Styela clava: one gene and its partners. The protein of the gene in region 3 interacts with the protein of the main gene of each other region in a biochemical or structural test. Links are inferred from orthologs where the notes say so. Each region holds a gene or a part of one and is shown on either strand. Other genes may lie near its edges. The genes, in order: recombining binding protein suppressor of hairless-like, ubiquitin carboxyl-terminal hydrolase 10-like and uncharacterized protein LOC120345158.

The links.
Region 1: the proteins of uncharacterized protein LOC120345158 (region 3) and recombining binding protein suppressor of hairless-like form a complex in vitro, tested with the Homo sapiens proteins (5 studies listed by BioGRID and IntAct, with this or other methods). The link is inferred for Styela clava from reciprocal best matches to the Homo sapiens genes NOTCH1 and RBPJ.
Region 2: the proteins of uncharacterized protein LOC120345158 (region 3) and ubiquitin carboxyl-terminal hydrolase 10-like form a complex in vitro, tested with the Homo sapiens proteins (2 studies listed by BioGRID, with this or other methods). The link is inferred for Styela clava from reciprocal best matches to the Homo sapiens genes NOTCH1 and USP10.

The regions. Positions count from the first base shown.
Region 1 is NC_135263.1:7,198,243-7,202,002, reverse strand, and holds the start of recombining binding protein suppressor of hairless-like, read right to left. Parts: upstream 2,299-3,760; 5' UTR 2,278-2,298; intron 2,094-2,277; exon of another isoform or gene 1,839-2,093; 5' UTR 1,816-1,838; coding exon 1,703-1,815; intron 1,424-1,702; coding exon 1,382-1,423; intron 1,211-1,381; coding exon 1,115-1,210; intron 862-1,114; coding exon 693-861; intron 259-692; coding exon 84-258; intron 1-83. UniProt on the Homo sapiens protein: Transcriptional regulator that plays a central role in Notch signaling, a signaling pathway involved in cell-cell communication that regulates a broad spectrum of cell-fate determinations.
Region 2 is NC_135262.1:10,710,120-10,713,879, reverse strand, and holds the start of ubiquitin carboxyl-terminal hydrolase 10-like, read left to right. Parts: upstream 1-1,101; 5' UTR 1,102-1,215; coding exon 1,216-1,233; intron 1,234-2,208; coding exon 2,209-2,274; intron 2,275-2,628; coding exon 2,629-2,656; intron 2,657-3,760. UniProt on the Homo sapiens protein: Hydrolase that can remove conjugated ubiquitin from target proteins such as p53/TP53, RPS2/us5, RPS3/us3, RPS10/eS10, BECN1, SNX3 and CFTR.
Region 3 is NC_135254.1:15,461,906-15,465,665, reverse strand, and holds the start of uncharacterized protein LOC120345158, read right to left. Parts: upstream 2,294-3,760; 5' UTR 2,117-2,293; coding exon 2,050-2,116; intron 1,744-2,049; coding exon 1,680-1,743; intron 1,105-1,679; coding exon 995-1,104; intron 759-994; coding exon 595-758; intron 1-594. UniProt on the Homo sapiens protein: Functions as a receptor for membrane-bound ligands Jagged-1 (JAG1), Jagged-2 (JAG2) and Delta-1 (DLL1) to regulate cell-fate determination.

The DNA of each region.
Region 1 (3,760 bases), on a different chromosome or scaffold from region 3:
GATCATAGCTAACTTCAGTATTATTCAACTGCATTGTTTTTGGCACAGTACATTCGTAGCCTGAATACCAAAATAATACTCACAATCCGCATTTTTCAATGACTGCTTCTTTTTTGATGGTTTGCTGATGACTTTAATACGTCTACTGTTGAATGCACCAACTTCAACTCCACTGGCAAAAAACATTTTGACAGATAACATAAAATGTTTTCTTTTGTCTGTATCGGAAATATATAATGTCTTTGCAGTGCAAAAGTTCTAAAAAAAATGAAATTATCCAATGTAAAAATCTTTTGAAATTCTAGTATAACAATGAAACAATAGCAAAAAATTCACAGCTCAGCATATGTTCAACATAATGTTAATATGAAACAATTTGAATAAAAACAGACAACAGCCACATGCTGTCAAGAATAAAATTGAGGAAATAAGCAAGTAAACCCTGAAACCAATAGAAAGACATGATTGATCAGATAGCTTTTTCATATGACAAAGCGTACATTCTCATCCAGTAATCTGAATGTATGACAATACATGTGGCACAATTGCAAGTATTTTCTAACCATTTAGTCAACAATTAAACAATGCACAAACCTTCAAATCACAATTTTATGCTACCAAACAAAATTTCACAGAATAATTCCTTTCTAGATCTCTAAAAGAACTTGATAGCACAAAACTATGTTTAATACCTTTCCTTCCAAATTGAGTTGTTGCATCTCTTGTTCACTACTCCCAATACCAATAAATGCATGAACTTGACTATTGTCATCTGGGGGTTGCTGCTCATTTTTTTCATATTGAACTAAATTGTGTTTCCACCCTCCAAACAGATATATGCAAGGTGGAGGACAAAAGAACCTACAGGAAGTATATTATAAATAAAATATATGAAATGTTGTAAACAAACAAACAAATTATCAGCTGCAAAGCCAAATCCCAGAGCCCAAACAATTGCTACTAACTTCTTTATAAAAGCATGGTGCCTAACAGTTTAGGGGGTTATTTTAATAAAATGGCTAAAATAGATGTTTTTTTTTAGACGATACACATTTTCATATTTTAGTGTAGTTCTATGATTATTAATGTTCATATTTTCAAAATATCAGCATACCGTTTTTCATTTCCATAAGATTTCTGAGCAACTTTTGCATGAAGAATAACCAATGTTTGGTCAGTTCTATCACTCAAATATTTCCTCATAGCTTCCCTGAGAATACACAAAATGTAATGTGAAATTTTGTTTTAAATATCATTCCAATGTTAATTATACACAACACAAGCATATTTTAAATTTATCACACGATACAATATTGTTGAAGCATAGTAGTATACATGCATTTATTAATATTGAAAGATAATAGCCTGCTCGATAACGAACCTAGTAAGCCTTCGTTGTGGTGGGATTTCGTCGAACGCGCACCTAAGAAGCAAAATTAGAACCACAGTTAGTGCATACACATAATATTGAATGCTACCATGGAGATTCTGACAAGAAACTAGCTGTCAAAAAGAAAACTAGGGAAAGAATATAGATTCTTGTACTTGAAAGTTTTTATTAAGCATAAAATTGTTGCCTGGATAAATTTGGCTGCTATCAGAGATATTAATTGGAGACATAGCCCCAAGAAAAATAAATGATTACCTTTAATAAGTATAGATATAATAAAAGTCACAAAGTAATAATAAAAAAATAAATGACCTTCGCATAATTCCTGAAATATGTGGTTCTGCCGCATTACTACTACCACCTTCTATTTCATTATTACGAGGGGGCGATGGTCGATCATCTGGATGGTTATGTTGTTGTTCCATACTATTAAGACATCAAGGAAAGTCTAATCAAGAGAACATAAGATTGGTGTTATCACAAGTGTCAAAAATCAGAAAATGGTATTGTTGAATATATCCAAATACAATCACCAAGTGAAATGATAGTTTAAACGAAATTAGCTTATGCTCATTGGCAGCTAAAAAATGAATATTTTTTGTAGTTTTTGGCTTGGCTAAAAAAATATGATTTGGTTAAAATGTAGCCTGGCAGCAGTGGCACATTGTCTGTCTATATCTATACCCTTATTCAGATATTCGAAACACTATGATAACTGACAGAAGAAGTACGGTACCTGTAATGTTACATACAACCAGACAACATTCTGGCATTACCAGTATGCGAGTACTTCTTCCGTCTGTTACCACTGTACCATAGTTACATACTAACATAGTGTTTCAAATATCTGAATGAGGGTACAGGTATAGAGAGATAGAAAGGTTCACCCTAGTCTGTAAGTGAAATTTTGATTTTGTTCCAGGCCAGCCTTTTCAAGTCTAAGTGTTCAGTCGCTCACGTACAGTCTGTAAAATGTCTGAATGTAATGCTGTACTGGAACCGTATGTATACAAAGATAGGATAGGATTTACTTATTTATCTAGGGGGAGAGGAAAGGCGATAAGACGGCTTATTCATATGACGAACCACGGCCTCTCGTCCGGTTACCAGTCTAGGTCCAGAGGTCAGGTATGGGATTAGTTAGCCAGTTATTTGTTTTCGAAGCATGGACTTGATGGTGGAGGAAGCCGTAACCGACCAACGGTTATGTGAACCACCCTACGGCAGCGAGGAGTCCAGCAATCCTCTCGCACATGATCATCCCCGCATGGGATTCGAACCTAGATCCTACGAAGGGTAATCAGAGATGCGGTGGCCAGAGTATTCCTAACGCTTAGCTCGATGCGCCACACCACCGAGCCAAGACATCAAGGGTGGACCTTTACAATACTGGTAACATACGTTATTTCCTGATTTCTAGCAAGACAAAGTCAAACATATACGGCACAGTGTTTCCTCAAAAATAAGATCTTGGTTTTGCTGTGACGAGTTCTGGAGGAAAAGAAAAACCACAGTGGCACCGTCCTATCACGATGTCGCTAAAAATGCTTATTCCCTTTGCAACAACATACGAATGTGACACATCTTTTTATACGCTACTCGTTATTAAAACAACTTGTTGAAACAGAATGGAACGTGAGACACGATATGAGAGTTGCATTATTCAAAACAGAACCCAAGCTAGAAGAACTAGTAGGAGCCAAGCAGGCGCACACATCTCATTGAACTGTTTTAATGTCATTCAATAGGTGAATGCTTAATATAGCCTACCGCGTTGCTATTTGCTTTCATTTCTTTAGTGGATTGCGAGTCATCAGAAAAATTGAAAGGGGACCGTTATGCATAATTTTTCAAAAAGTTTGAGAACCACTGATCTAGAGTATCGTTGTAGCCTACCGGTACCGTAGTCGACAGCGAAAATTTGGTTAAATAAAATCTTTTTCGAATTTTATGAATCTAGAGACTTGCAAGACATTCCGAAGCATCCTGATATGGTCATTTTTGAATAATCTATGTTCAGCACTTTTTTTTTAATAAAAATGTATTATTCATACGAAAGTTAAATGAATATCAGTTTTTCTATTTTGTATATTTGAAAATCGCGTAGGCTCAAATAATTTTGTTTTTGATCAATGAAAATAAAAGATATCCCGAAAATAAGAACCGGTACGGTACCAGTAAACTTCTCTCAATATCGGTAGCGTACCGCCACCGCAATGCCAGCAAAATTCCAGCCAAATCTTGAAAAAGTTGTACCGAATGTCATATCGAAGTGTGGCCGTGATTTTATACGAAATAATTGACTATTTCGAATCTTTTCGGTCACAGGGGAAAAAATTCGAAAACACACTATTGGATAGAAGACTACTA
Region 2 (3,760 bases), on a different chromosome or scaffold from region 3:
CAAACAAAACTAGTTACCCCATATTGGTACACAAACTTCTGGAGCGCTATAAAAAGACCTCAGTATCACAAGTGTTGACAAACGTCTACCATGGATGAGCATTAGACCAAGCAATTCAAATTGTCTACCGGTTTCTTTCTGACTGACTGATAGTCATCACTGCCCGTTCGCATTCATTGTTCATACTATATTTATTGCATTGTAAGCTGTAAAGATTGTTCTTTTTTCTGCTCAGACAAAATCATAAGTTCATAACTATGCATGCTGCATGTGCAAAAATATTTTTGTGAAATTTGTACTACTTACTGTGGTAATGAATGTATTCACCGTTTACAATAGAGAATTTTTGACTGAAAATAATTGTACCATGCAAGTATTTATTAAAGTGGAGAGATGGATTCAATTTTAGTTGTGACTAACAAAAAAATGAGGTATCTTTTAAACGATGCGTCTTCATTCCCTTTTCTCTAAATAAGGCCCCTGATATCTGAAGATTTGTAAGGAGTTATTTTTATATCGTACTGGTATCCTCCCAGTTCGACATAGCCTACACAATTTATTTCACCACCTATAGAGGGATGGGATTTAAACCTGAGATGTGTATTCCTAAAAAAAAAAATTTTAGAATGGTGCATATTGGATATATATTTATATATTTGCCATTCATTTTAATTCAGAATCTTTGTTTCATAATATGCCTCAAACTGTTTTTGCACAAATTAAGTTTTACTGATAAAGTGTTGATAAAATATATATCGTATTCTGTTACCTGAATTTCAAGAACATTTTTGCTCTCACAGTGCACACATCTTTACCTCGGCCATTTTTTTTTTGAGATTATCAATCCTGAGATATTGTCTTTTGTGTATTATTGCATTGTCATACAATTATACGTAAAATTACTGTATTGTTTCAAATATCATAAATACGACCAATATGGACATGCTTTGTACCCAGGAGAAAGGTCTTCGTTTTCTATACTATCAAACTCTTTTGAGGATTATAGAAATTGGTATTCTATCTTTCTGACTATCATTCAATGTTCTACATGAGATCTGAATTATGGAACGTGTTATATCTTGTTAATCTTGTCTCTCTCTTAGAAATAATAGCTTCTGTAGATATTATTTTTGTGATACAATGAGTAAAGGGAATAGATAGATATTTGGTGTACGGAAATTGTTTCAAAGAATATTTGTCACAAGCTTGCCGATCATGGCATCAGCACCTCGAGTAAGTTGAATTTATATATTTTAATTTGAAAATTACCATAAATTGTCCTTCATGAACGTAACCCGCAATTGTATAATAGTTTTATTGTTCATGAATTTGTGATGTACTCTATTGACTGTGACTGCAACAGTCAGGCCTTTGGAGTCAAGAGGTCGAAGGTTAACATGTTCTCTCTGAAGTCTGAGCCAGAGTCGCATTCTCTAACTCATCAAAATTATGAATTCCCTGGTATTTGGAGTGAGTCTGAGTTACAATTTCAGACTTTCAATGGTGATAAAATGAGTGAAGTCTTTTAACTCAAAATGTATTGACTCTACTAAGCATTCAAAACAGTCTATTAAATAAAGCTGGTTTGTTGACTCCATAATTTTTGTCATCAGTATTTGTTATCAGAGTCTAAGCTGGATTCGATGTCTGAATGTTTTACAAGTCATTGACAAAAATTTTTTTAATATCTGAAACAAAATTCTTTTGGGAAATTTTTTTATCCCACGCGACAGTCGTATAAACAGTATTCACAAATGCAAAACATTTGATAGAAGTATGTCGCTTAAACTTTTGCTCTTGTATGAAAATAATTATCGAGTTTGTGTCCGTATCTTACAGATCATAAAGCGCACTGTCTATAAATTGCTTAGATTGGGTACTTTTTCATACATAAGGCACATCAGACTATGAGGCACTACAGGTTTTAATATCCATGATCCATACATTAGGCGCATTGGCTGATAAAATTCATGATCAATTTTTAAGAAAAAAAAAGATTTAAAGTGTGTTGTATGGCCCTTAAATTACGGTATCTCTATAACTCTATCCTATTCTATGGTTTCGACTGCATTCAGTTTGTTGCAAGTTAATAAAGTAAGTCGCAATTTAACAATCCAAACTTATTTCACCTATCTATTAATATTGACATGGGTGTTTCTTTGATTATAGTATCATCGAAGTTTTGAATTGTGCAAATTGTATTTTTAGTTCAGTTTTGGGGATTTCACAGAGGAAGAACATAATTGTTATTTAATACAACCTGGATGCGTGGAGGTATTTTTTTATTCTCGTTTTCTATTTCAACAGACAACATATTTTACATTATGATATACCGGCAGTAATATTGATTGAAGCTTCGTATTATATTTGAGAATCTGAAAAAGAATCTTGTACATTGTGTATCTTCTTATAAATCTATTCTACACAAGTGGATCACAATAACTTATTCATATTAGGTCTCACTGTTGATAAGAATCTTGGTATTGAAACAAAATACCCTAATTCAGTTGTATGGTATGAAGAATGTATAAAGTGTGGTATTCACATTTAAGGCTTATTTCTTGCTCATTGGGTGGCATATATATATTGGCATACATCAATCTAATCAAAATTGAAATATTTTTTCAGTTTCCGAATTCATGCAATTATGTAACACGTAAGTGAACGTTTTCTTGATCTTATTTTTTTTTTAATTGAAATAAAATAATGTAGACCCAGAGATTTCGCAATAAATTGAATATTTGAATGAAGCAAAAAACCATATTTGAGGGGGTTCAATTCGTGCGAAAATTCATAATTTCATTATGGAAATAAAGTATTTTTATTAGATATTTCATTAATAGTATTATACTCATGTTTTGGTCTACATTTTGGCTACATTACTTGAGAGTTATTTAAAATAGAGCTTATTTAAAATAAAAAATATTAGAGTAATGTAAGACAAAATTTGAAGAGATGTTTTCCAAAGTTTTGTAATTTGATTTTGTTGTGTGATCTATTTTATTGATATTACAATGTAATTGGATGTAGAGAAGTACCGATACCACTTTTGTCACCGATACCGATCCGATACCAGCAAAAAACGCCGATACCGATACGCCGATACTACAAAAAGGCCGATATTCCGATACCGATACTATGTAATTATTACTTAATTAGGTGTGCTGTATAGGGCAGACGGGTTAAAACAACGGTCTTCGAGCGTTGGTCATAGTACACATTATTTCAGATCGAAAAAAAGATATATCACATAATATGAAGTTAATGTTTGGTGTTTGCTTTAACTGATTAAGATACATTGTACAGTAACGCTAGTAATCTCGGTGTTCAATTAGAAAACTCATAACCCGGAATGTCCAATTTGAATTTAATGTTAATAATATCGCGGCCTTCGAATATCGTTATTCGTGTTTAAAAGAATATCGAATATCACCCACACATTCTAGCGCCTACGTTCAAATTAAAAGCATTTCACAAATATTTTATTTCGTGGCTAATCGTAATCGTCGACGCAATAAGTCAAAGCCAACATGGAAGAATATCAATCAGCACCGACAAGAAGAAGGCCTACCTATAACCGTCGAGGATGTTTTTTTACTTTACTATTTTATAATATTTTACAATTGCTATCATATATTTTGAGACAGTCTGGGGCTAGGCGGTCATGTCAATATATCTATAAAGTAATTGTGTAGTTAAACAAAATTAAAATTAATACCTGCGTAGATGGATAATTGTGTCGGAATTTAGTTTATCGATG
Region 3 (3,760 bases):
GTGAGCTGTCACATAATGATGAAAATATTCTAGAATATGATTTCTTTAAGATATGTGCCATAACTCATGTTGATGATGCTACTATCCTGATTCATGAAAATCAGGGTTTTTTAAATATCATTATTTTTTTTAAACAACGAACGAACTAGTTGAAGACTTCGTACCAAGTTTCACCAGCTTGATAAAATCAAAAGCTTTAAGCTGCTAAACAATTTAATAGTATAGTACACAATCTAATTTTAGTTTTTGATGCTCATATTACCCCAGTTTAACCACTGTACATTTAAACTCTTGCTTACATAAGTGACACAGTATGCATCACCCCTATTACTAGTAAAAAAACGGTCACTGCATCATACATGTAGGGATATGATATAGTGTGCATCATTGACTCAGTATCGAAAAATATAATTTCCAGGTGAACGGAAATTTTATTTCTGTAAATAAACTGTGAATTACTGCCTCCGATGGTTACATTGCTGGATTTTTCATAGTGTAAGCTATATGGAAAATTATGATAACAGCCTTAGTATCCAAGGTACAAAGATAGAATTAACAATGTCTATTATTGAGTAATATAATGAATCGGCATACCGCACATAGGTTAGGATTGTCAGAACATTCATCTTTATCATTGGCACACGTGTCACCATAATAGCCATCCGTGCAAGTGCATTCAAAACTGTTTGACACGACAGTACAAGTTCCGTGATTGCATGGGTTTGAATGACAGTAATTGTAATCACTGCATGTGGTCCCTAAAGAAAACACAGAATAAATTTCATTATAGAATTCGCCAGAAATGATTACAAACAATCAGTAAATAATAATGTTCCATATAAGGAACTGGCACACTCTAATAGATGCCTTAAAATAGTTCAGATTAGAAAATCATGACCGACTGATGTGAAAAAAATGAATACGGTAAATTTTGATGGCACATCAATAAAGTGGTAATAACTTTAAATCTTTCAAAACTCTCAAATATGCTTACCCATATATGTAGATGGGCAAGAACATTGCCATGTATAGTCAGTGGAAGATGTTGCTACTACGCCACACGTTCCGCTATTATCACAAGGTGATGAAGCACATGGAGATACACTATAAAAGAAATAATGTGATAGTTTTATGAATAAAATTCATTCATATTAAATAATTTAAGAAAAAAATAAAATCAGCCTAAATGCCTAAAAATGAGTAAAATCCTCAAAGTTCAGGGTCTTTTTCAAAATATACTATAAATTCTTAAAATAGAAGTTTCGAAAACAATTTTATTTGTACCGTTAATTGTTTTATAAAAAATACAAAGTCGGATAAATAGTATAAATTAGGCATATTCAGAATAAATATAAAACTGAATATTGCAAATTAATTGGTGTAATACATGCACAACCTATAACTAGACGCAATCAGGATGTAATTAAATGGTCTATACATATCCTGTTAACATAAAATTGATATTCAACATTAATAGATATACAATAACGTGATAATCATTTAAATGAAAACCAGCTATTTTATGTATTTGAAACATACGGATACAAATTGTTGATTTCTTCAAATAAACAGAGACGAAAAATTTCCCATAATTATGTTTGAACACAATAGCACATACGAAATTTTTCCCACAAAACTCAATGCAATAAATAGATGAAAATGAACGTAGCAAACATTACCTGCAAACTGAACTTATACATATTTGGCCACTTGTGCAATCCGCATTAGATGAACAACCAGATGCTAAAAAATGAAACATATAATTAACATATTCCAAGCACATTTTTATTTAACTTCATTATTCTCGCTAAAATATAAAACAGCGTCAATACACATAAATTTTCTCAAAAATATGACCAAGGAAGAAATCACATATATCAAGCAATATTTAATCTCCTATTTTATTTCGGTGAAATATTGTGAAGAATGCTCCTATACAGCTCAACTGTACTCATGTGAGAATTTTCATTCCACAATTGACTTTTTTAGATAAATATCTGACTAAAACAATCTACAACACTGTATGAAACAATAGAATAAATAACATACCGTAAACAAATAAAAATGGAAGAAAAATTGCCGCTTGAAAAATAATCCGAAATTGAGGTAAATCCATTTTTTGTTGAAGTTAAATCCACTTCCTCGACATACGATACAATATGTATGTCACAAGAGTAAAATATGATAAAACCTTATTAAATAAATTAACTTGATCTCTTTATTGCTGATTACATTCCTTCTTTTATTTCAGTGGATAAGGAATTAACTGAACTATCATCTGTAAAATATTGAATACATTATATCAAAAACAGCCTACTACCCCCAAGACGTTCAAATAAACCAGTGCTTCCCAATATTTTTCGTTCAATTTCTTTCTTCAACTTATTTGGAACTCTATGTTCCTCTCTCCCTACACATAAAAAAACTGTATTCATATATCGATTTTTAGCTAGTGTTATGCACAAGAGAAGTGCTACAGTAAGGATAAAGAACTAAACAATACTTGTAAGACTACAGCATATATAAAGCAAAATTCCTCCTCGAGTGACAATATTTCTCCTTGGTAAGGAATCCCTCCCAAGTTGGGAAATATGGCAGTGTTGTAACTCAGACTAATCTGTCTTGCTTCTATAGCTCAAAATGCTTAACTAGAAATATCAAGCTAGCAGTTTAAAAGCATAATGATTATTAAAACAGTTCCCACATTCTATAATATATTATTATACAGTTATGGCACTAATCTTTCAGTGACATTATTGCATCCATAAGATTAATAAGAGATTAACCTAAAAATCAATACATGAATCAAGTAGTATTGAGTGTGAGATTTTCTCCCTTGTGGGGCTCCAAAATGAAGAGATGAATTTGGTTGAGCTGTTAATCCGAAGATATAAAAATCATATTATTGTTTACTTTATTTGAGAATATCCATAATTAAATATTTTGATAAGGTATTTTAGTTTTTTTTTTTATTTATTTGGAGGTGTTCAATTCAAAATTAACATCTTCTTGTTTAAATTCTTAATAATGCAGTAATACATCCAACTCCAATAGACACAATAGAAATTCCTTAGTTCTTTACTACACTGCTTACAACAGTACAATGGTTAGTATTTTTCATCTAATTATTAATTTAATATTTTGAAATTTTTAATTATTTATGAGTAAGCTTATTTCAGTATTCACTGACTGCATGCTTTTAAGGATAGGATAGGATAGGATAGGATTTACATATTTATCCCGGGGGAGAGGAAAGCCGATAAGACGGCTTATCCATATGGCGAACCACGGCCTCTCGTCCGGTTACCATTCCAAGTCGGGTATGGGATTAGTTTTTACTGTATTGTTTGTCTTCGGAAGCATGGACTTGGTGGTGGAGGAAGCCGTAACCGACCAGCGGTTACGTGAACCACCCAACGACGGCGAGGAGTCCAGCAATCCTCTCGCACATAACCATCCCTACATGGGATTCGAACCTGCGAACCCACGCAGAGTAATTAGAGGTGCGGTGGCGAGCGTATTCCTAACGCTTAGCCCGTTGAGCCACACCGCCGCCTTGCTAAAAGATTTTTGGTAAATATACAGAAAATACCATACAAAAAAGTTTGAAATTAGACAAAAATTTTAGTTTGTTCTATACTACTTCACTAGAATTATACGGTACAAAGACTACTATCAGACTATAGACGTTTATAACAGTAGTTTGAAATACTCGCATACCAGCATACAGATTTATAGTATGGTACTCAAACTCTAAAAT